Linked DNA regions of Arabidopsis thaliana. The protein of the gene in region 2 interacts with the protein of the main gene of each other region in a pairwise test. Each region holds a gene or a part of one and is shown on either strand. Other genes may lie near its edges. The genes, in order: ATG8F, AT2G46550, PPT2 and EDA14.

What was found.
Region 1: the proteins of AT2G46550 (region 2) and ATG8F interact in a two-hybrid assay, tested with the Arabidopsis thaliana proteins (one large-scale study listed by BioGRID).
Region 3: the proteins of AT2G46550 (region 2) and PPT2 interact in a two-hybrid assay, tested with the Arabidopsis thaliana proteins (one large-scale study listed by BioGRID).
Region 4: the proteins of AT2G46550 (region 2) and EDA14 interact in a two-hybrid assay, tested with the Arabidopsis thaliana proteins (one large-scale study listed by BioGRID).

Annotation. Positions count from the first base shown.
Region 1 is NC_003075.7:9,305,284-9,311,421, reverse strand, and holds ATG8F (Ubiquitin-like superfamily protein), read left to right. Parts: upstream 1-2,883; 5' UTR 2,884-3,076; exon of another isoform or gene 3,077-3,297; 5' UTR 3,298-3,308; coding exon 3,309-3,345; intron 3,346-3,439; coding exon 3,440-3,495; exon of another isoform or gene 3,496-3,932; coding exon of another isoform or gene 3,933-4,025; coding exon 4,026-4,078; intron 4,079-4,169; coding exon 4,170-4,288; intron 4,289-4,439; coding exon 4,440-4,540; 3' UTR 4,541-5,083; downstream 5,084-6,138. Other genes in the region: AT4G16530 (uncharacterized protein), read right to left, coding at 1-67; RGF6 (root meristem growth factor), read left to right, coding at 5,593-6,036. UniProt on the Arabidopsis thaliana protein: Ubiquitin-like modifier involved in autophagosomes formation. May mediate the delivery of the autophagosomes to the vacuole via the microtubule cytoskeleton.
Region 2 is NC_003071.7:19,111,055-19,117,219, reverse strand, and holds AT2G46550 (uncharacterized protein), read left to right. Parts: upstream 1-3,013; 5' UTR 3,014-3,228; intron 3,229-3,747; 5' UTR 3,748-3,762; coding exon 3,763-4,956; 3' UTR 4,957-5,259; downstream 5,260-6,165. Other genes in the region: AT2G46560 (transducin family protein / WD-40 repeat family protein), read left to right, coding at 11-184, 293-516, 677-810, 911-1,132, 1,223-1,401, 1,540-1,650; AT2G46540 (fiber), read left to right, coding at 5,539-5,617, 5,980-6,062.
Region 3 is NC_003074.8:215,555-221,405, reverse strand, and holds PPT2 (phosphoenolpyruvate (pep)/phosphate translocator 2), read left to right. Parts: upstream 1-2,269; 5' UTR 2,270-2,549; coding exon 2,550-2,846; intron 2,847-2,957; coding exon 2,958-3,080; intron 3,081-3,148; coding exon 3,149-3,301; intron 3,302-3,409; coding exon 3,410-3,495; intron 3,496-3,596; coding exon 3,597-3,678; intron 3,679-3,765; coding exon 3,766-3,885; intron 3,886-3,969; coding exon 3,970-4,047; intron 4,048-4,154; coding exon 4,155-4,284; intron 4,285-4,376; coding exon 4,377-4,459; 3' UTR 4,460-4,601; downstream 4,602-5,851. Other genes in the region: AT3G01560 (proline-rich receptor-like kinase, putative (DUF1421)), read right to left, coding at 1-643, 812-1,093, 1,214-1,522; DRH1 (DEAD box RNA helicase 1), read left to right, coding at 5,264-5,551, 5,633-5,791. UniProt on the Arabidopsis thaliana protein: Phosphoenolpyruvate/phosphate translocator that transports phosphoenolpyruvate (PEP), 2-phosphoglycerate and 3-phosphoglycerate.
Region 4 is NC_003074.8:22,310,708-22,316,786, reverse strand, and holds EDA14 (embryo sac development arrest 14), read left to right. Parts: upstream 1-2,359; 5' UTR 2,360-2,559; intron 2,560-2,765; 5' UTR 2,766-2,784; coding exon 2,785-2,840; intron 2,841-2,925; coding exon 2,926-3,016; intron 3,017-3,202; coding exon 3,203-3,294; intron 3,295-3,415; coding exon 3,416-3,509; intron 3,510-3,602; coding exon 3,603-3,682; intron 3,683-3,872; coding exon 3,873-3,953; intron 3,954-4,036; coding exon 4,037-4,136; intron 4,137-4,217; coding exon 4,218-4,310; 3' UTR 4,311-4,529; downstream 4,530-6,079. Other genes in the region: AT3G60370 (FKBP-like peptidyl-prolyl cis-trans isomerase family protein), read left to right, coding at 167-302, 410-485, 569-753, 867-976, 1,106-1,214, 1,329-1,405, 1,665-1,787.

The DNA.
Region 1 (6,138 bases), on a different chromosome or scaffold from region 2:
CTTCTTCATGGCTTTCACTAACAAGAATCTCTCTCGCTTTCAACATAAGATTCAAATATTCCTCCATTTCCGGAAAATTTGGGATTTGCGTTTTTCTTTGGTTACGAAACTGAATATAAACCGGAACTAACCGTATGTTTAGTTGAAATCATTCAAAATGGCTGTCGTATATTTTTAGAATTATGGGCCAATAACTCTTCTTCCCACTCAGCTTCATAACCTCTATATCCACCATCATCATCCTCACCACGAACACTATCATCTTCATCATTACATTTCTCAAGGTACCAAGGAGGCAAAGTCGCTTCACACCTTTACCAGCAACACCATATCCTAATCTATATTTGTCCTCATCTGCATTATTATAACTTATGACTTTAAATGAGGTTTGGTTTCTCTCTCACCAATGTATCACCCAATTTGGATGTTTTTAAGGGGTAAATTTCAACTAAAATGTAGTCCAAGTTATTAATGTTTTGGTAGAATTAATCGAAATTAGAGACATCAGAACAGCTAACATCAATTTGGATTTTTTTTTTGTTCGACCCTAACAGTAAAAACCATTCATCAGTGTGGTAAATGTCGAAAATGTATTACGATTAGAATTGATACATTCATCAGTTTGGTCAAAAACACCTATCTTCGATCGATATTTTTTTTACCAAAACGAAGTTGATGTAAATTGTTGGTTGCAAGTTGAGTTCTGACCAATAAAATTGGTAGAAATTCTTTGACCATTTGTAAATTGTTGGTTGCATGTTTATACTGAATTAAACATTTGCTTCGAATATTTTAGACCAATAAAAATGGTAGAAATATTTTGATCGGTTGACATTTTTGACCGAGAATAGTGGTCGAAAACATCTTACCAAAAAGTGGTCAAAACTTAATGACCAAAATAATGGTGAATATTATTTTTTACCAATTTTCGACCATATATTTCAATCTGACTAACTTATATACAAGATTGGAATATAAGTATAAATCAAAATTCAATTTAATTCTTAAATATTTGATTCATAATAACTTAATAAAAATAAAAATATAATTTAAAATACACAAAAAAACAATACTTTTATACAAGAAATCAATTTTAAAATTATTTGATTAACAAATTTTAAAAATATTTGAGTTTTTGTTTTCCTTAACAAAGTTACCATGTGACTAATATATCTCTCCAATCTTAAGAGTTGGAGTTTGAAACTCTTCTTAACAGAAAAACTCTTTCATGAATGCGGTAAATCTGGAGCTACATGTATAGGTATGTGGAATGCATTTATATCAACCTTAGGCACAAATAGTGAATGCTTCAAAGCAATCCAAGTCTTTGAGAACATTCCTTCCACCTTGATCAAAACTCACTCAACATTTTGGAACGTGATGGTAACTTGTACACATGCTCGACAAACTGAGTATGGGCATTATCTTCTTGCAAGGATAGTCAAGACTCTATGGATAGAACCAACTATTGAAATAATGGGGACATATTTAGACGGCTTGGCTAGAGGAAAAGTGATTGATGAGGCATAACGAGTTGTCAAGACTTTGATTTTCAAGCCTAACTAGGAGATTGCTGTGAGTCTTTTATCAAAGTACAAAAGCCATTCAACACCCATTGAGTTTGCTAAACGTTTTGTGAGGTACCTTGAAGAGAAGAAAGTCACCTTCTACATTGCTGGAACGACTTATAAGGTACTAGACGAAGATGGGGTGGAGTGGAAATCTAATGTCAAGATTAAGAAACAGAAGAAAGGAAAATCCACAATCCACTCCCATTAGAGCAGTTCAAAGTACTATATATTGCTGCACAGCTAAATCATTCGTCAAAGGCATTTCTTAACCATGCTATTTGACCTGAGGTTACGAGAGTAAGGATATAATTGTATTGATTGTTTTGAAACAGTGAAATAAACATGAAAAAGTGCAGTGAAATAAACATGAAAAAGTGCATACTCCCACATATGTGCCCCATATGCTCTAACAAACTTGATAAGTGTCATACGTAGTGAGATACCCTTATATTTTTTTTAGCTTTTTATATACTATTGCTTACAAACCTTATTAATATAGTTAAATAATTAGGGTGGGCATCGGTTTGGATTAAGTAATGATTTTGGATAATGATTAAAAAATAATTTTGATTTTTTTTTCAACTTCAGAAAACTCAATCTTAACTTTTAAAAATGTTTATGTCTTTTCACAACTATAATATTTTATATCTATAAGTAAAAAACTTGTTAGAAAACTTATCTTACTTTGATAAAAGATTCATTTTGATTAATTATCTTTGTTATCCTGTAAATTCTCGGTTTTGACATTAATCACTCAATTCCGGTATTTTAATAAATTACAAAATGAGTTTTGTGCAGTGTTGAAGATATATTCTCAAATACAGTAATTGCTTTCAACCCTTGATTTCGAAATGCCTAAGCTTGAAATCCTAAGCTGTCCATACACCAAGACCTACATCTCCAGATCTCTATAACAGTCATAAAAAAACTTCTGCCTATACTTTATTTATTAGTTTTCATATTTCCATCCGTTTATTTGCAAGGCCCATTACTGCACTAGGCCCTACATTTTGTTAGAAGAGGCAAAGCTTATAAGCGACATTCTCAATTTCCAACTATTACCCTTCCGAACTCTTCACCTAACACACATTTTCTAGGGGTAAACGTGTCATATCGTATGCAGAAACGTGATCCCAGCATATCCGGTTCTTCTTTATCCTTTGTTGGAGGCAATATCTACGTAGACAGTTACCTCGTACACCTTCAGTAAAATGGACGGTTGAGATTCCTATTTCAGTAAATAGCTAATATCTACCGTCAGATTCTCACTGAACAGATTAAGCATACAACGTCAGCTGAAGTGTTTAGATGTTACCATACACCATCTGTAGAGAATCTCTGACCTTATCGCATAATTTTTTAATGTTTTGCAGAATTTTTGTAGGTTGCTTATTTGCTTTTTCTTTCATATTTTTTCGTTAATTGTTGTTGTTATCTTCAACGATAGCGTTGTGCTCTGGAGAAGTGTTTGATCGCAGAAAAGCTTCGTTCTTTGTAGTCTACAGGTTTGATCACTGAGTTCTTAACTTCTTTTTTGGTTTGATTGCGATCCTGTACTTTCGTTTAGATTACTTAAAGGTTGGGTCTTTAACATGATCGACTGATAGATTTGTGGGAATTTTGATAATCTGAGTTCCAGAGTTTGGGAATTGATGATTTGATTTGAGTGTTAAATTTGTTTTGATGGTTGTCTGATTGGTGTCACCTATTTGTTATGTGTGTGTAGGCGTGGAAGGAATGGCAAAAAGCTCGTTCAAGCAAGAGCATGACTTAGGTTTGGATTTGAGCTTTGTTCTTGCTTTACTGTTTGGTCCTCGAAATCAAAACCTTGTGCTTTGATCTAATGATCCTGTTTCCTAAATCTTCAGAGAAGAGAAGGGCAGAGGCTGCTAGGATTAGAGAGAAGTATCCTGATAGGATTCCGGTGAGACTTTCAGTGTCTCTCTTATACATTGATCGATCATACATTTCTAAAGTTATATGTGATTAGCATATTGTTTCCCTTTCTATGTTCGGATCAATCTTTTGTGTTTGACTGAGTTTATGCAGGTTAAGTTGTTGTGGTTTATGGCCCAGCAATATGGTAGTAATGAACTTATTGGGATATAATGAACTTATTGGGATAGCATCTGGTTTTAAATGGACACCCTACCCGACTAAAGGATGGTTATCAAGTTATTATTGTTTGATTAGCTTCATGCTTGTGATATATGTTTGCCACTGTTTCAACTACATGGAGTTGATTGAGTTATAGTGACTATAACAACATTAGGACTTTGAATTTAGTTGTCATTTTTTGGAACGTGACTTTCTGAAACTCGATTCTTACTGAGTACTTACGGCTTAGATAAGTAGATTTGCATGATTCATGTGGCTACGTGCTTTATGATTCACATGGTAAAAATGACACTTGAGATGATGATTTCCACGCATTTATATTTTTGTGGGATCCAGGTGATTGTTGAGAAGGCTGAGAAGAGTGATATACCAACCATCGACAAGAAAAAGTAAGCATATAAATGGCATCAGTATCCTTTTCATTCGGACCTGACTTGTTAATAATAGTGATTGATAACTAAGCTTTTTTCAAATTTGCAGGTACCTAGTCCCGGCTGATCTGACTGTGGGGCAGTTTGTGTATGTCATTCGCAAAAGAATCAAATTGAGTGCAGAAAAGGCTATCTTCATATTCGTGGACAATGTTCTTCCTCCAGCAGGTAAACAGATAGATCTCCTCTGTATTCAAGACTCAGGAGTTTCATTATCTTTTAACACAAGTAACAAGAGCATAAGAAGGCGTCTACTTATATGTTCCCCGGTGATTATAAATTCTTTATATTTGGCTGATCTGATCTGGTAACTTTGCAGGTGCGCTCATGTCTTCTGTGTACGAAGAGAAAAAGGATGATGATGGGTTCCTCTATGTCACTTACAGCGGAGAAAACACATTTGGATTTGGATCTCCATAATAGAGACCTCTTGCTGGATATTTCATTTTACTCCTCTCTATTTTCACCAAATATTTCATCTTCTTATTAATTACTAAGCAAGCAAGCCACCTATGTACTTATTCTCTAAGGACCTTTGGTCGGGCGTTAATATGTACAGAAAACATAAAATAATGTATATAATCTTCTTTCAAGGATCTAAAAACCTACTTTAGGTGAATCTATCACATCTCCCTCTTGACTTTGTTGTGTTTTTTTTGATGTCTTCAATCTATAAGCCGACATAACACGTCGCTTATGGCACATGGGCCATGACAGTTCCAAATTGCAAAGCCTAAGTGAAGAGAAGTTATATCACCAAACTCAATAGAAGTGCAAGCACAAGGGAACTGTGCCACGTGGCAGACATGGTCGGTACCGGTTGAAGGTTGGCCGGCGACGATCTTATAAAGGTCCCACATTGTCGTTGACGGAGAGAAGGAGGAGACGGTCGGACCATGCTGGCTTGTTTCTCATCTTACACTTTTCAATATTGATTTTTGTTTCATATATTTATTTGTTCACAGTTTTAGCTCGATTTATGATCGTCAAAGATTGTAATTCAAGGTTCCAACCGGTCACGTGGAACATGAGAGACGCGGTTGTGTTTTTGGGATTTTGGACCATTGAAGTGAAAGTTGAATGTAAAAGCTTTTCATAACTTGTGAGTGTTTTGTCCAAAGAAATCAATGTCAAATAGTGTAGTGATAAGAAGGTGATCGATTAGGACTTAAGAGAGTAAACACGTCGGTCATACAATAATGGCGTGGATGAAAAAGGTGAAGAACCGGAGAATAAGGTGAGCAAATGGAAGAAAGGAAAATGAGAATGCAGGAGATGATGACCCCACGAAGACTCTCAAGTAGACAAAAGGTTTGGCCGATCAAGACACCCATATACATACGATAGATATGTATGTTGAATGTAAAATATATTTGAATAATAGACAAGAGAGAAGATTAAAAAGAAATAAAAGAGAAGAGGAACAAGAGCATGTTATGATAATGAAGGACCCCTCCCCCCACCTGTATTTAATGCTTGTCTTACTCTCTTTACTCTCTTCTGCCTACAAATACTCTCCTTCCCTCTTCTCTTCTCTTACACCAATTAACAACATTTCAAACTTTCTTTGTCCTGCTCTAGTCTCATCTCCCTGTATACAGACACAGCATATATACACAAGTATCTCAAGAACAAGAAGAAGAATAAGAGAAGTCATGTCTTGCTCTTTGAGGAGTGGACTCGTGATAGTGTTCTGTTTCATTCTTCTGCTTTTGTCTTCCAATGTTGGATGTGCCTCTGCCGCTCGTCGTTTAAGGTCACATAAGCATCATCATCACAAGGTTGCTTCTTTGGACGTCTTCAATGGTGGAGAAAGGAGGCGGGCGTTGGGTGGAGTCGAGACAGGGGAAGAAGTAGTAGTCATGGATTATCCTCAGCCTCATCGTAAGCCTCCGATCCACAACGAGAAGTCTTAATTACCCGATCCATATATACCAGTCTCTCTAAATATATCATACTGTTATATGCATATGCATTCACCATGTTGGTGGTTGTAATGACTCTTGTGCTATCTCTAT
Region 2 (6,165 bases):
ATTCACGTAGATCCGCCGGTGGTTAGGAGTCTCTGGTCTAGGTTGGGAAACTCAAGAAGAATTTGAAGAGTTTGTTGATCCTCCCCCAACAGTTGAAAGTGTTATTACGAGAGCATTCTCTAATCACCCGACAATGCCCCTCTTCTTGGTTGGCTCAAGCAACACTCACATATACTTGTGGGAGGTTTGTGCCTAAACACTTGCACCATCTGTTTTAGGAGTTCGGAGTAAATGATATGACATTTCTTATCTATCCTTGTGGATCTTATAATGCAAACCTTGCATGTTACAGTTTGGAAACGAAAGAGCTACTGCAACTTATGGTGTTCTTCCTGCTGCAAATGTTTCCCCTCCTTATGCTTTGGCGTCGATATCAGCAGTGCAATTCGGTCCATTCGGACACAGATTTGCTAGCGCTGCACTGGATGGAACTGTATGCACTTGGCAATCAGAAGTTGGAGGAAGGAGCAATATTCATCCTGTTGAATCATCTCTTTGCTTCAATGGCCATGCATCGTACGTTTCATGATCCTTGAGTCTATAAGTTCTTGTTCACTAATATGCTAAAAACACATAAGTTTTAAATTATTGCTGTCAGTCATGAAAATTACCATTATTTCTCTGTTTCTTGTTCTATTGGCTTCAGCTATTCTGTTTCTGTTATTTATGGTTGCAGAGATGTAGGATATATTAGTTCGAGTGGATCCATTGTTGCAGCTTCAGGATATAGCTCAAGTGGTGCAAATGTCGTTGTGTGGGATACTCTAGCTCCCCCTTCAACCTCCCAGGCATCTATCAATTGCCATGAAGGTCCTCCAATAATTTTTTTTGTAGAAGTGTTAGTATCATTTCCCATAATCACAACTCTTAACAAGTTTTTTTTTTGTTTTGTCCCTTTTCTTCTATGAAGGTGGTGCACGCTCTATCTCGGTATTTGATAATGACATTGGTAGTGGTTCAATTTCTCCTATGATTGTGACTGGTGGCAAAAATGGTGATGTCGGTTTGCACGATTTCCGGTTTATTGCAACCGGAAAGATGAAGAAGCAAAGGAACCCTGACGGTGGATCTTCGACTGATGGAGATCAAAACAAGAATGGGATGCTTTGGTATATACCAAAGGCTCACTTAGGTGCACACCCTAAAGCCTATTTTCACCTTCATATTCCAATTTTACCGGAAAAATATCCTGAAATTTGATTGACATTGATGCAAATTTCAGGGAGTGTGACAAAAATAGCGACAATCCCACGCACAAGTCTTTTCTTGACGGGAAGCAAAGACGGAGAAGTAAAACTTTGGGATGCGAAAGCTGCAAAGTTGATTCATCATTGGCCTAAACTACACGAAAGACACACTTTTCTGCAGCCAAACTCGAGAGGCTACGGTGGAATCATCCGGGTTAGTGAACCAAATCACCTAAAGCATAATCCTTTCATCGTATTTTCTCACAGTGGCTTTGGTTTCTTAGTAAACCAGAATCAAAGTAATGTCGGTGTATGTAATCGAATTTGGGTATGTGTTACGAATTTGGTGTAGGCTGGGGTGACTGACATACAAGTTTGTCCGAATGGATTTATAACGTGTGGTGGTGATGGCACGGTGAAGTTCGTCAGCCTCGTAGATTCTTCCTATGGCGATGCTAAATAAAAAGAAGATACATTTTCCGGGAAAGTTTTGCAGTCGAGAAAACGAGTTATTGCTACCTTGCGTGTGTTTATTGAATACGTGATTTTTTGTGATGTAGTTTTTTTCTCTATATGGTTTAATATTTGTGTATATACAAATATATTAAAGATTATGAAGCAGTAGAATCTTGAGTTGACCATAATCCAGATTTTAATTTATCTTTGACTTGACTTCAATCTATACTCGGAAATATCATCTATTTATCTTTGACATAGTTTTCGTTGACTTTGTTGCATCAGATTTAGACCAGATTAAATCGGACTGATTCCAATTAGATTGGTGTTAAGTGTAGTGCAATAGAACCGAAAATAAACATTATCAAGATTTAGTTCGTTATTGTAATTTTTTTTCTTTCTTTTTGGTGTTGGTTTGGTATTAGCTCGATATAGTTTAATAAGATTATGAAAAATTGACGGCTAGGAACCTGGCCACTATCGTATTACGTAGTGGAATATTATCTTATGGTTGATTATTAAACTGCTCCATAATTTGTGTTGTAGTCTTGTAGACGAAATGATATGAATCATCAAAATGTTTGATTAAAACCCCATTTGCCAAGAATTATTCCTAAAACTATTAAGTTAAGGCAAAGGTCCATTTCATTAATAATTATTCTAAAGAAGTTAGTTGTATATATAGTATATATATAGACTATGGTGTTAATTATGACTGAATATATTAGTGCTCACATAAAGCATCTTATTAGAATATCTTAGATTGCTTAAATAATTATTAACCACGTAATAAATAAATCTCATGTAACACTATCAATTGGAGAATAATGGAGAGAGACAATTAACCATAATGACTTGAAGACACTTGGCTTCACCTAACATTCAATTTCCTAGACGAGGCCACTATTTACATTCTCTTTACCTAACTTTCAGAACTACATTAAACCAAATTGACATGTAAAAAACCTAATTTTATATTTTCAACATGTCTATTTACCATTGGCCACTTTATTACTTAAATGAAAACGATGTCATAAAAAATATTAGTAGACCCTAACTTGAAATTTAAAATTTAATCGATCATTTAAAAATCAAAATCATTCGACGCAATTACTACAAGATTTTTATGTTTTAACCAAACATTTATGACGTAATCTACCATCGCGCGTAATCGTATAGTGATAACTGATAAGATAAAAGGTCTTATCCGTTAAAAAAGGAAAGGGAAGCCTTTTTTAGATCTTCTTTTTTGTCGCCACGTGTAATTAATATCTAATCGAACGGCTGTCAGGTGAAATCTATGGGCAAATCTGTGGACTCAAATACTCATTAACATAACTATGGGTCCTCTCAGAAAACGGTGCCGTTTTGCGGAAGCTTGCGTGCTGAATGACACAGAGACTAAGAAAACGATAATAAACTGCAAAATGATTCAAAAGATTTTAATCGAAAGCAAACAAAAATTCTCTGACAATCAGAAAACAAAAAAAAATCAGAACAACTCTTATCTTCTTCACGAGACTGACTAAACAATCATAGATTTTTCCGTTTTTTGGGTTTCGTCTGGTGTTACTCTCTCCTTCTGGTTAGTTCTTTTTTTCCGAATTCTTACAAATTATTGCGGTTTCATTAAGATGAATTATGATTTGGATCACCATCCGTTGTTTTTGTGTCCGGTTTTGATTCTTAGGTCTAATCGCGTTTCATGTTTTTTTTTTGTGTTCTTCTGGGTTTGATAATTTTATAGTTGAAGTTTTATGAAATTTGATTTCAATTGCAAATAATGATGATTTGTTTAGTAAGTTGATAAATTGACAAAGAATCTGGCTTTGGTTTTTGTTTGCTTCTAAGAAAATTAGGAACTAATTCTTCAATTTACCTGGAAAGCAAAACATATCAGATTCTCTAAAAAGTAGTTTTGTAATAAGCTTTTTTGGTGATGGATCTGTCGGCAATCAGAAAGATTCTTCCTTTGAAATAAATGATTCATATTATTTTTCCTATAAATAGATTCAAAACGGTTAATAAGATTTTGCTAAATCTACCTAATTTCTAAATCACATTGATCTTGAATTGAATTCTCAGTCTCTTGTCTTATCTTTAGAGTTATGGTGAAATAATGGCAGCAGCTGAAGCAAGAGCAGTGTGGCAAAGAACAGTTAATCGTTGCTTTGTCCAAGAAGACGCTAAAAGAGCTCCCAAGTTAACTTATTGCCAATCATCTTCATCCTCAACTGCTTCTTCAACTAAGCAAGTGGAAGTTTCTGGTTCTTCTCCTCGAGTTTCTGTTGAACCACGGACTCAATCATCTTGTGCAGGTTTCATGCCTCTTCCTCGAAACCCGAATTTCCCTGATCTGTTACCCCACAACACCAGACTGTGGAGTCATCCTCATCATCAGTTTCAGGTGAATAAGAAGCAGCCATTGGAGGATGAGGTTAACAATCAAGGTGTATCTGAGAAGAAGTCTGAATTGGGAGCTGGAGAGAAACAAGGAAAGTCTTTTAATTCCGAAAGCTTTCAAGAGTTTATAGAGTTGATGGAGACAAGGGAGAGTTATGGTTCAACTGGGTATGATGAGTCCTCTGAGAAAAAGTTAAGTGAGCTCTCTTTTGATCCTAGCTCGCCGTGGAATCTTCTCTCGAGTGAGAAAGCTGCACCGTGGTGGCGAACTACGGATAAAGACGAGTTAGCTTCCTTGGTTGCACAAAGATCTCTAGACTATGTTGAGAATTGTGATTTACCAACACCGCAGAAGATGAAACGATCTTATTATGGTAGTCCACGTGGTTTTGATTCTGATGGATTGAGAGACTACTCTGTCTCTGGCCAAACCATCAAGGGTACAAGCAAAGGAAGCAGCTGCAAGAACAGACCCGAGGCTTCATCTGAGTCTGATTTAAGCAAATCCGAGCTTCTAGAAGCACTGAGGCGTTCGCAAACGCGGGCTAGGGAAGCGGAGAATATGGCTAAAGAAGCTTATGCAGAGAAAGAGCACTTGGTGAAGATATTGTTGAAGCAAGCCGCAGAGCTTTTTGGGTATAAGCAATGGTTACAACTGCTTCAGCTAGAAGCACTTTACCTCCAAATCAAGAACAAGGAGATTGACAATAAGAACAACGACGATCCAGGGGTTTCCATCCCTTGTTGGAGCAATGGCAAAGCAAGAAAAGAGGGGAGAAAGAGAAGAAGCAAAAGGGGTAAACCGAATGGAGCAAAGTACGCGGTTGGTTTAGCATTGGGGATGAGTCTTGTTGGTGCTGGTTTGCTTCTTGGATGGACTGTTGGATGGATGCAGATGCTATCGTTCTAGTTTAAAGAGAAGAAAAGAGACAAAACTTCATCTTTTTTCTCATTGAACAGCTTGATGATGTTGAAATGAGTTAAAAGATTGGCTTCGAATCAGCTTTTGGATTTCGTTAAGGAGAGAATGTAAATTGTTGTAAGAATTTTGTTAATATTGTGTTTACTAGTTTGATCTTTTCCTTCAAAAATCATATGAAATTATCTTCTTTAATGTGTAAGTAAGTATCTTTCATGTTCATGTAATATCTGCATATATTAACTACTGTACAGTGTATATGATCTTTCTTTCATGTTCCTAGAGCTTCGATTTCTTGAAAATTTAAAATACTTAGTAATTTTTTACTGCTGGAAGCAGAATGAGAAAGAGAAAGATATACAGTATATATATTTTTTAATTACGGCAAAGGTGATTATAATGGGCCGAATTGCGAACATTTGGGCCCAGTAACCCGACCCGACCGGAGATGATCTTTAATTTCGTTTCAGGTGAGAAAATGGTTTACTCAGGAGCAACTATCAATCGAATCAGACATTGACGAGGAGCTTTGGTCGTAATCCGAGGAAGAGATTAAAATCGGAAAGTGCGAAAATGCCGGTCATGGAGAAATTGAGGATGTTCGTGGCGCAGGAACCAGTTGTGGCTGCTTCTTGCTTAATCGGCGGTGTTGGTATGAACCCTAATCTCAATCTTAATTCCTCACCGATCGATCGCATTCTCTTTCTTAGAAAAGGATTTGCTTTGGGATTTATCTAGTTTCTGGAATTCCTCTTTGAATCTATAGAGCTAGTTTGCTCGATTGTAATTTGAGAATATAGAGAAATGCCTGATCCAAATCTCTCTATTCGGAATCGTCATTTCTTTGGGTTGTCAAAGAGAGTGTATTTTAAGGAGTTGAAATTAAGCTTAATTTGGAACCATGTCTTCCATTATCTCCATGTATAAGTAGCAAAAGATTATGTCTTTCTTGAACATTAGCAAAAGGCAATTGTGTTAATATACATTTGCTGATGGATTCTCTTCATCTTGTAGGACTATTTTTGCCTGCGGTTGTGAGGCCTATTCTAGACTCTCTCGAGGCTTCCAAACAAGTTAAAGCTCCTCCACTTACCGATGTATGTATTAGAATATATTTATCTCTGTGGAAATTCCTTTTGCTGCTAAAATCGTCATCTATTTCCTATCTAATGAAATGTCTCTGATGTGGGAACTCTGCAT
Region 3 (5,851 bases), on a different chromosome or scaffold from region 2:
GTGGCGGTTTCGCTGAGGACATTGGTGAACCACTGTATGTGTAAGGTTCAGACAAGTAGCCGGACGGAAAACCTGAATTAGATCTACCACCCGCTCCATCGTACATTGATGGTTGTGGTTGAGGAGGGTTGTAGAACTGTTGAGAAGGGGTAGAACCAGCAGGTGGCTGTTGACGAGGAGGGTTTGGCGGGTAAGATTGCATCTGATATGGTGGTTGTTCTTCGGGGTTGTAGCCTGATGATGGTGGTGGCTGTTGGGGGTACTGTGGCTGCTGAGGCGGTGACTGGTAAGATGGTTGATGCGGCGTTTGGGTCTGAGGAGCTTGGTAAGGAGGCGGGTTTGATGGAGGTGGTTGAGGATGACTAGGCGGAGGACAATACGGCTCTTGTTGAGAAGAAAACTGCGTAGGTAGCTGAGGTGGTAGTTGCGAGGAAGGTGGCTGGGAAGGAGCAGCAGTGGAAGATGGTGGCTGTGGGAAAGAAGTAAGAGGAAACTGCTGCATAGGGACTGGAGCGGGCGATTGAGCAGTGGGATCAACGTGTAAAGAGTGTGTTTTGGCATGCTGGTTGGATACCTGATGCTTTGAAAGCTGAGCTTCGAGAATCTCTTGTTTGTCCTTCAATAGTTGCACACCACTCTGCACCTGCACACCATTCGCATAAAGAAGGAACTGAAGTATCAACAGAAAGTACTATAAGCCTGGTTCAAGAAAAGACATGTTCATAAATGAGAAAATTTCTGTATAAAAAAGATCAATAGTTGCCAGGAAAAGCTATAAATTCTAGTTTCGAAAAGCAATCAGCAAAGTTACCTCTACAAGGATATTTTTAAGCTGTCTCATTTTCCCATCAGTGCTGCCGTGACTATTGTCAACAGAAACTTTGAGATCATCCACCAGGTTCTCGAGGTTGTGGGTTCTGGTCTCCAGCTGTGAAAGACGTGCACTAACACCTTCCATTACATGAAGCAAGGTATCGGTATGTTTCTTCATTGTCCTATCTATAATCTCGGACATAATAGTCGTGTTAAACACATTTTGACCCTTGTCAGGAACCAACTTGGAAGGTTCAATAGAATCGAGAGATCCAAAATTCTGGCCGAATAAAAAAAAACAAATCAATCAGAAATAGACAAGTCCTCTTATAGGCTTATGATGTAGAATCATGTACAAAAAAAAAAAAGAGAGGAAGATTCGAGAAGTAGTAGTAAGTACAGTGTTAGGCGAAGTAGTGGAAACGGGTTTATAATCAGAGGCGGACCAATTAACCCTAGTCGTGGATCCGGCGAGATCTAAAGCCGAGTGAGACAATCGTGCGGCGGTGGTGGGACGTATGGGATGGAAATCATAGCTAGGAACGATCACTTCTTTCTTAGAGTCCAATCCATTATCGCCGATCACCTGCTTCTTCTGGTGATCATCGCCGTCATGATTGTTCATCAGATCGATGAAATCAGTGGAAGGTAGAGATGAAGAAGAAGATAGATCCATTATCTGCTTATCCATAAACTGACAAGTATTCATCGATCCACCCGACAATTTCTCCGACTCCCGAATTTCTTCTTTTCTTTCTAAAACCCCTCAGATCGATTTTTATTTTTTTATTTTTATTTTATTTATGTCATAAAATTGACCAAGTTGCTCATGTCGACGTACCTTCTGATTGGCGTAGAAGGTTATGGACCCTAAATGGGCCGAAATGTATTTAGAATTCAGTTTCCATCCTCTCCGTTTAAAGCCCAAATTGTGATCAATGACCTGTACCAACACTGACATAATAAGTAAATGGTATAATCAATAATGTGATCAAAGCAATGGGACCAACCTTATTTGTAATAGTATGAAATAACACGGAAAGAAAAGGGTGGACTCAGGAGCATACAATACAACATCCACATGTTTCAACGCGGCCCCTTTCATATCATCCATACAATTCTCCCCTGACATTTTCAAATTCCACACTAAAAATCAATTGGTGTTGTGGTCAGTAATTTGTCATGTTCGTACGTAAACTTTATTTTAAATAATTATTTATAGCGTTACCAACTTTTTGATATTATTATAAACGAAGAAAACCACGGCCCCTTTGTAAAGAAATGAGTGACCAAGTATGTCAAATCATTTCCATAACATTATTTACAGAACACACATGGAATGGAGAACATGAGAAGAAACAATACCGGCAAATACCACTGGCTCTTATGAGGAAAGATAAATAAAATCGAGCCAATGTTATATTGAAAAAAATGTCGGCATCGGCATGTGAGTTATTTTTATCATACTCAAAAACATTCAGATAGTAGAACGAGAGAAAAGTCACATAATAAAGACAACTCTTCTAAATAATACTAATATCAAGTTTGCAGTATATCCAAAAACAAAACAAACTTTTTTCTTCTTACATGAAAATGAGGAGGTAGACTCATGTAACATAACTCTTACCAATAGAGGAAGAAGAAAAAGTTAGCAAGAGTCGGTTACTTGTGAGAAATTCCAACAAATGCCGGAGGATTTATGCACATCTTGGAGCATCTGATAAGAGGAAAAAATTATGTTCGCTCTCACATTTCTAAATCCAAATCCAAGACTTCCATCTCCATTGTTCCTTGCCAAGTCTACTCCTGAATCAGCGTTGAGCAGAAGAAGCAGAGCTTTTTCATCTTCTAACTCTTATCCTTGGAGACCGAACCTTAGATTTAATGGCTTCAAGCTCAAGTCAGCTACAGTTCCGGAGAATGTGGAAGGAGGAGATTTGGAATCTGGAAGTTTGGTTAAAGGGTTGAAGCTAGGAGGCATGTTTGGAGTTTGGTACCTTCTCAATATCTACTACAACATTTTCAACAAACAGGTTCCTTCTTTGCTTCATTTAATTAAACAGTCCATTTCAATGCAAGAAGCAGTACTCGAACCTATTATCAGTCTTCATACAAGTATGAAACTTGTTCATTCATCGATCCAGGTACTTAGGGTTTATCCATATCCAGCGACTGTAACAGCATTTCAATTAGGGTGTGGAACGTTGATGATTGCTATAATGTGGCTCCTTAAACTCCATCCACGCCCCAAATTTTCTCCTTCTCAGGTAAATCAAATATTGATTCCGTCAAACCCTAAAAACAGAGAGATTCATTCAATTGTAATCCTCTCCAGTTTACGGTGATCGTACAACTAGCAGTAGCTCACACGTTAGGGAACTTGTTAACAAATGTGAGCTTAGGAAGAGTAAATGTCTCTTTCACCCACACTATCAAAGCAATGGAGCCTTTCTTCACCGTCTTGCTTTCTGTTCTCTTGCTCGGTGAGGTAAGCAAAACAAAGATACGCTCTGTTTCAGACTTAATCTATAACCTTAGATTATACAAGAGAGTTATATTTTCAGACATAATCTTTGAAATTTTGATTAATGTCCAGTGGCCGAGTCTGTGGATTGTTTGTTCGTTGTTACCTATTGTCGCTGGAGTCTCTTTAGCATCTTTCACAGAAGCTTCTTTCAATTGGTATGAACAACAAGAACAAGAACAAAAAAAATAGTATTCTTGATAAACTTTTGATGAAGTTTTAATTGATTTGATTAATTCATGGTATTGGGATAAACCAGGATTGGTTTCTGCAGTGCAATGGCTTCTAATGTGACGAATCAATCACGCAATGTCCTCAGTAAAAAATTCATGGTTGGAAAGGTAAAAGAGTTTGAATATAAGTTATCCTTATGATCTCAAGAAAGAAACTAGTAATCGAAATCTATTAATGTTTGTATATTGAAACAGGACGCTTTGGACAACATCAACCTTTTCTCTATAATAACCATTATCTCCTTTATCTTACTGGTTCCTTTAGCAATCCTCATCGATGGGTTCAAGGTTACTCCTTCGCATTTACAAGTAGCAGTAAGTGGAAAAGCATAAACCGATATAGCTAGATGATCTAAAAGAGAAAGAACTAATGTGTGTTTGTATGTGGTTGCTTGACAGACAAGCCAGGGTTTGTCGGTAAAAGAGTTTTGCATCATGTCTCTACTTGCTGGTGTTTGCTTGCATAGCTACCAACAGGTTGGTCCGTCTAGTTCCTCCGTTTCAGAAAAACTGTACTGAATTTTGTAAAGTCGGTTAGTGTTAGGCTTCTAATCAACACATAAAAATTGGGGTTGTTGTTGTAGGTATCGTATATGATATTGGAGATGGTGTCTCCAGTAACACACTCTGTAGGGAACTGCGTGAAGCGTGTGGTGGTTATTACATCATCCATTCTTTTCTTCAAAACTCCAGTCTCACCTCTTAACTCTATAGGTAAACAACTACTAGTAGTATATATTAGTAAAGGATTTGTTACACTTGTTCATTTTATTGAAGCAATATATAATCACTTGTTAAATAAACAGGTACCGCGACTGCACTAGCTGGAGTATATTTGTACAGCAGAGCCAAACGAGTCCAAGTCAAACCAAATCCAAAAATGTCTTGAATTTTGTATATAGAAGCTCTTAGTTTATTATTTATGCGAAAAATGTTGATATTTTTGTTCATCCATGTCGTTTTTACATGACACTATTAACTTTTGTTAAATTCAACTAATCTCATTAAATAATTCTATTCTTTACATGGAAATTATATAATGGGCCTAGGAATAAAATTGGAGTGGCCCAAAAGGGCCCAAAAGAAGGAGGCGGCTCATTAAGGTGCAGATATTTTTGTTGCGACGATGGATGGTTTTATAAACCTAACTAACAGAGACGGTCTAAAGTTGGACATCCTTGCTTTTGGTCTAACTTTCTCTCTCTTGCTTCTACGCTTCTTCTTGTGGCGTAGATTGTTATAGAGAGGGAAACCAAAAAAGGGAATCTCAAAAGCTCGAGTTCACAGATTTGACCCGAGTCTTTAATCCAATCTGCTGGTTCGTTTTCCACATTCAAACTCGACTCTTGAATATCAAATCAGGTACGCGTTTATCTGTTGACAAAATTCCTCAATCCTGACTTAGATTCCTAGAATTTGGTATTTAAGCTCTCTGTTTCAATTTCTAGTTTCTCTCTAAGATTGCGTCGGTTTGGTCGTGTTTAATTCTGATTTCTGATCGAATCCTTTTATTACGTGTTAGTTTTTTTTTTTATTGTTCGATTTGAATCCAGATCTGTGACTCGATTGCAGTTGGATGCTTTTCTCATTTATGGTTGAATTAATTGAAACCTAAGTCGAGTTTGGTGATGATTTCTGTGGATTACCGATTTGGTTTACTGAATCGCTTTGACATGTTGCAGAAGTCTTTGCTATGGCTGCTACCGCTGCTGCTTCTGTTGTCCGTTACGCACCTGAGGATCATACTCTTCCCAAGCCCTGGAAAGGCCTTATCGATGATAGAACTGGTTACTTGTACTTTTGGAATCCTGAGACCAATGTTACTCAGTACGAGAAACCAACCCCCTCTCTACCTCCTAAGTTTTCTCCCGCCGTTTCTGTTAGCTCTTCCGTTCAGGTTCAACAAACTGATGCCTATGCTCCTCCCAAGGATGACGATAAGTACTCCAGAGGCTCTGAACGTGTGTCCAGGTTTTCTGAGGTACTACATCTGGTTGCTGTTAACGATATTTTATACATTATTTCTCTGTTCATCTGTTTACTTTTTCTCAATTTGCTATAGGGTGGCAGGAGTGGACCGCCTTATTCGAACGGTGCTGCTAATGGAGTTGGGGATTCTGCTTATGGTGCAGCATCTACCAGAGTTCCTCTTCCTTCATCAGCTCCAGCAAGTGAACTATCCCCTGAGGCCTATTCCCGCCGTCATGAAATTACTGTCAGTGTAAGTATCTAAGACCTTCCTGTAACAATCACCCTCGTTTTTATGGTAGACCCCTATGTT
Region 4 (6,079 bases), on a different chromosome or scaffold from region 2:
TTTTAACCTTATTAAATTTTGCTCGGAGTCATTGTCCAAAAATACCAAGTTGGTTAAGAGTCCACAAGACCACAAGTAAAGTTTTCGTCAACTTTGTTTGACCAATGACCACACGGATAAATTGGTAACAAAAGGAATTGTGGGTCCAAATTATAATAAACTGAAAATGGATGGTGTAAAATGTAATTTATCTACAAAATTAAACTTTAGGATAAACATTGGATTTTTGCAGGAATCGCCGGAGGGAGAAGCAATGGTGACGATTCTATCAACTCCTCTCTCTCCAAGACTTACATTTCTCTGTGAGTTCTTCCCTCTATCTCTCAAAACTCTTATTGATCTTACGATTCAGTAAGCTGGTTCCATAAGACTAGTTAAGTGACCAAAACTGTTCCATAAAATCTTATAGGTGAAACAAAACTGTCATTATCTCGGAGCAATCGCTCGGTATGTTGTTCATTGAGTGAAGAACCAAAAGACCAATGGTAAAATTTGCAATCTTGAGAGATAATTTTTTTTCCTTTTTTTGGTTTGATTCTGGAGATAAAGCTTGGTCTTTTAATTGCAGCTTGAGTCGGAGAAGTCTTGTTTATGTTTTAGTTGCTTCGCCGTGTTTGTTGTTACCAGCGTTGTCTTCATCTGCGAAGACTAAATCAAAGAGTCCTTATGATGAGAGACGGTTACTAGAACAGAACAAGAGGATACAGAGAGAGAACAATGCTCCTGACGAGTTTCCTAACTTTGTTAGAGAAGGTTTAAGCTTTTATTCACTGTTTCTTTGAGTATTATTCATTCTTGAGTGGAAGAAGAATATGAGAACTTATTGTCCTTTTGTTTGTGTTTATGTTTTTGCTGATATAGTGCAGGTTTTGAGGTTAAGGTATTAGCTTCTGATAATTACATCAAGGCTGATTCTGGCCTCATATATCGGGATTTCAATGTTGGTCAAGGTGATTTCCCAAAAGATGGTCAGCAGGTACTACTTCCTCTATGTTAGATTAGTTAAACTTAGGATCTGAAGTTAGATCATTTATGGAATTGGTATGCTCTTTACTTGGATATATAGAATTGAAGATATCATTGAGTTTTATGGTTATTTTGACAGGTGACTTTTCACTACATTGGCTACAATGAGTCTGGAAGGCGAATAGATAGTACTTACATACAAGGTTCTCCTGCTAGAATCCGCATGGGAACCAATGCACTTGTTCCAGGCAAGTAGAAGACATTAACTTGGCTCTTTAGTAGTAGGATGTTAATGAAGAATCTTCTTTGACAGGAAACACATATTGAAGATTTTTAATACTATATGGATAATGATGATGCAGGATTTGAAATGGGAATTCGTGACATGAAGCCCGGTGGGCGAAGAAGGATTATAATCCCTCCAGAATTGGGACCTCCGGTTAGTGTTCTTACTTGTTCCTTACAAGTATACACTTGTCTGAACTGTAAACCTGACTAGTGGTAAACTTTTGCTGAGCCATTCCGTTGAATATACCATCCCTCTATCAACAATGTTTCAAATGGAATTACTAGCTTGAGCATGCTCGTTTAGGGACATATCTAAACCAATGTAGATTAGACTTGTACTGTGTAAAAACTGTCTTCACTTTGGTTCGATCATATTTTTGACAAAACAAAGTTCATTGGGCTCTAACCAGGTGGGACCTTCGACCTTCTTCAGCTCGAAGCAATTTGAAGTTTTCGACGTGGAGTTGCTCAGTATCCAGAATTGTGAGAGGAGGACTATAATAGGTTTCTACTCAGATGTCACATGCAGTTAACTTCCAAATGATGGTCATCACTAAGCTTCAATGAACCTGCATTCTTCAATCTTCAATACTCTAAATCTGCACGGCAGATGAGAACTACAAAGAAACAAAAAGAACAATTATTCTTTGCTTAGGCATTTATCTTGTGGGTTTCATGTAGAGATGCACAATTACATAGAGAGACAGATAAAGATCATGTAAAGTCTCGACCTTTTTCATAATCGTAGTTTACTTTTGTTGCTTTGTTGATCACGTTTTAAGCGTTTGGAGCTTTTTGATATCTTCTGTCTCTCTGTATCTGTGCGTTTGTCAAGTTAAAGCAATGCATTGTTTCGTTAGTTTTATAATTTCTACCCCAAATTTTGGCACTCTTTATGAAACACCCCAAACAAATAATAAATTGTACAAAGATACATTGAAATTTGGAACGGTAGATGTGCAATGCTCATCACATTTGGAAAGTTAATTACGAAATTTTCATCTAAAGACGTTAAGACATTTTATGTGTGGAAACTATAATTTGCAAGTAAAGCAACTAAAACGATAAAAAGGGTAAATGAGTAATTGCGACGTATCCACTAAACCCTTAGTCTCAGCTAGAAGGTTCGGTTTGAGTTTTCTTTATCCCCAAAAAACCCTAAACTCTTCTTCTCGCCGACTTCTCTACTCCTTTCCAGAAACCAAGTTTCAGGTCATCGGTGAAATTTGTTGTGTTCCCGGCGACTTCTACTTTTCACCTTTCTTCTCGGCGTCGTCTAATTTCTAGGGTTCCCCTGTATTTCACGTGAGAATCTTTGGCTTCTTTTTTTCTTTCGTTTCGTCTGTTCGAATGCATAGTTAGGTTTAGACTTGAGAATGTTGCATTGTTGGATTAGATTCATACTTCAGATTAGGGTTTCAGTTTCAATTCGTTAAGTTGATGAGCTCGAGTAGCTTAAGATCATCTTTAAGCTCTCTTAATTCTAAACAGTTTTGTGACTGAAATTGCAGCGTCAAGAGCAAATCCAACATGTCGTCGCTGCGTAATGCTATTCCACGGCCTGCTCATAAGGAGCGATCTCAACCGTAAGCTATTATTGCTCTCAGGTGTCCTTTTTGTTCTTTTCTTCGTTTCTCTTCTTAAAGTTTGGATTTTTAAACGTATCATCAGGGAAGCGAGGAAGAGGTTTGGCATCCTCGAGAAGCATAAGGATTATATTATCCGAGCTAATGCTTATCACAAAAAGCAGGAAACTTTAAAGGTAACTATTACACTCTCTGTTTTCAATTCCATCTCTCCTATGATTATACTGTCGAGATTATGTTAATAAAGTCTTTCAAGTAGACATTTGTTAGTTTACGGGATTGATTGATGATATCTGTGAGATAGCTAAGAAACTAAATCGTTGGGAGTTCAGTTTCTCTTACACCGTTTTACTTTACTGCAGATACTTAGGCAGAAGGCTGCATTCAAGAATCCAGATGAATTCAACTTTAAGATGATTAATAGTAAAACAGTTGATGGACGTCATAGACCAAAGTAAGCATATCGAAACTCTTCGTTTTCTTCTTTTTGCTTTTCACTATTATCTCTTTTGCTATTCTCATGGTTTCTCGTTTTCTTCTTGGTTTGTAAATTTTGACAAAGTTATTGTTTTCAGAGATGAGGTAAATAAATACTCTGCGGAAGAGCTTATGATTATGAAGACTCAAGATATTGGATATGTGTTCCAAAAATGGCAGAGTGAGAAAAACGTAAGTTATCTTTCCTCATACACACCCCAAGAGCTTTCTGCTTACGATCATATTTATCCAGTTTTTCTCTTTGTTCCTTCTTATCTTTTGTAGAAAATTGACAAGCTGACTGCATCGCTGCAATGTACTGGGGATCAGTCAAGCCGTAGACATGTTTACTATGCAGAAGACAGGTTAATCCCAACTTTTAGTCCTTTCTTTACTTGGTGTAGCTTTCGTGATTTTCTCATTCATTTTGAATGTGTCATATGGACACTGCAAAATTTGATCCTCCTTACCTTAACATTTAAAAGACATTACCGGTACCACATTGTTTGTGTTTTCTTATAATCTTCTTTTTTAACTCTGTTGTTCCTTTATCAGAGAGGAGGCTAGAGAACTGGAGGTACAAGGTAGAAGCAAAAGTGATATCTCTACAGTAGAGATTCCGAAAGATATTAAAAAGTATGTATCTGAAATGAATTAGATGTTTTCAAAGGTATCAAACGGACAATCAATAGTCATTGTATTCTATTTTCTTAAAACAGGAAAATGGATAGGTCCTATAGAGACCTCGAGGGGCGGAAGAGCAGGGCTAAAGATTTGGAGAAGTTATACACGGATATGTCAATGCAGAAGGAGTTACAGGTTATCATCAGTCCCCCGAACACATTACTGTTTCTTGGTATGCAACTAGACCATCTCTGATTAAACTCTTTTAATGGACAGAAAAAGGGTCGCAAACGGAAGCTGCGTGATGACGAGCTGCTCAATCCAAATGGTAAAGCGGTATACAAATGGCGCGCCGATAGAAAACGCTGAAGAGAAAAGCTTTCATGGTTGTGTAGCTTGACATCATTTTTCTGATCTCTATTAAAGTTTATATAGCAGGCAGTTTTATTATAGTTTTTTTGATCTCCAGAACCTGCAGAACTTTACATACAATTTTGGATGGGACAATATCTGTTTACTTTAAGCTCTTTGTTGCGTATCTGGAAAAGTTTTACTAATGTGATTGACGAAATATAAACACATGAATCCAAAATAGAAGATTGAAGACTTCAAAATTTTACCACTAAGATAAAGTTCGGTATACACAAAAAGACTGTTTGTAAATAGCAAATAATGGGCCCTTTTCTTTCTGATTGGCTTTTACCAAAAATACGCAAATCTTACTCAGCTTTTAAATTTTGGTTTTTGTTTAAGTTTTAGATTTTGTTACTTAAAAGACTCAAAAAATATTGGTTCAGCCTTTTTAATTTATTATTTATTTACTCTTATGTAAAGAGAGAAAGAAAACAAAAAGCAATGGGACTTTAAATGATTTGGTACAATTGCTGTTTTAGTACAAGTTTAAATTTGGAATCAAATCCTAACTTATAAAGAAAAACAGCCATCTTTGGCATATAACACAAATGCACTGGCTTATGATATTTGCTATTTCTACTAAAAAACAATTAGTCTTAAATAATTTCAGAAAACATTATAAAGTCATTTTAATTAAAGGCATAAGACACAAATGTTACCCCTATGTTTATGATATGCGTTATTAGTTCCAATTTTTCAGAAACCTATTAATTGTCTATATAAAATAAACTTATAATTAATTATGTTTAGCCAAAAGATTTAAAGTATATAACATTTTAAAATTATTGATAAAAAATAAAATGACTAACTAAAAGAAAGAAAGATATGATACACCACTTTTCTGTATCTCAATATAAACACGCTAAATTTTACGGATTATCCGTTAAATTTGTTATATTTTCAACTATAATTCAAATAAATTTTAATATAATATACATATAAATGTGCAAAAATTCTGTTAATACTAATCAAGTAGTTTTCATAACAAGTCATCGTGAATTATTTACATACTAATATATCACAAGAAAAACGTTTATCGTAATTTAGAACACTGGTTAGAACAATAATTATTTATCAAATTGTTTTTTAAAAAATGACAAAAATAAAAGTTAGGATTTAAAAAAGAGAAGAAAAGAGGAATGGTAATTGGGTAATATATAATGTACCGTGCAAAGGAGGTGATTGAAGCTCTTTGTTACAATTACAATGCCTATATGAGCTGTGGTTTCAACATCCGCCCTTCTCGTCTCTCTCTCTTTACCTTCATTGCCCAATTCCTCTAATTCTTCCTCCTTTCTCTGTCTCTCGGAATCAGGGAAGATAAAGTTCTTCCTTTTTTCTCCAAAGGTGATTACTTTAAGCTCTTTTGCCCTTTTTTTTTTCGTGTCACAACAGTTTCTCTGTGGGCTCGTCTGAATTCTCTCCGACCATCATCACTCTTTCAATTGTTATTTCCAATGGAGTTTGTCTGAATTGAATTTGCATAGTAAAGGTCAGAGATTTGTTTAAGTCTCTCCTCGCTTTTCTGTTCGAGGGTTTTTCTTCTCAGAATCCGGCGAGAGCATTCCTCAGTTCTTTCTGTTTGTTGAATTTGATTTCTCTTTTATCTGCTATGGGATTTTAGTTTTGGAGCCATTGAGTATCTAAATTTTCCAAATTGGGGACTTGTTTGATCTTATTGTTTCTTCTTGTTCTGCAGGTTTGGATTTTCTTCTAGGTGGAGT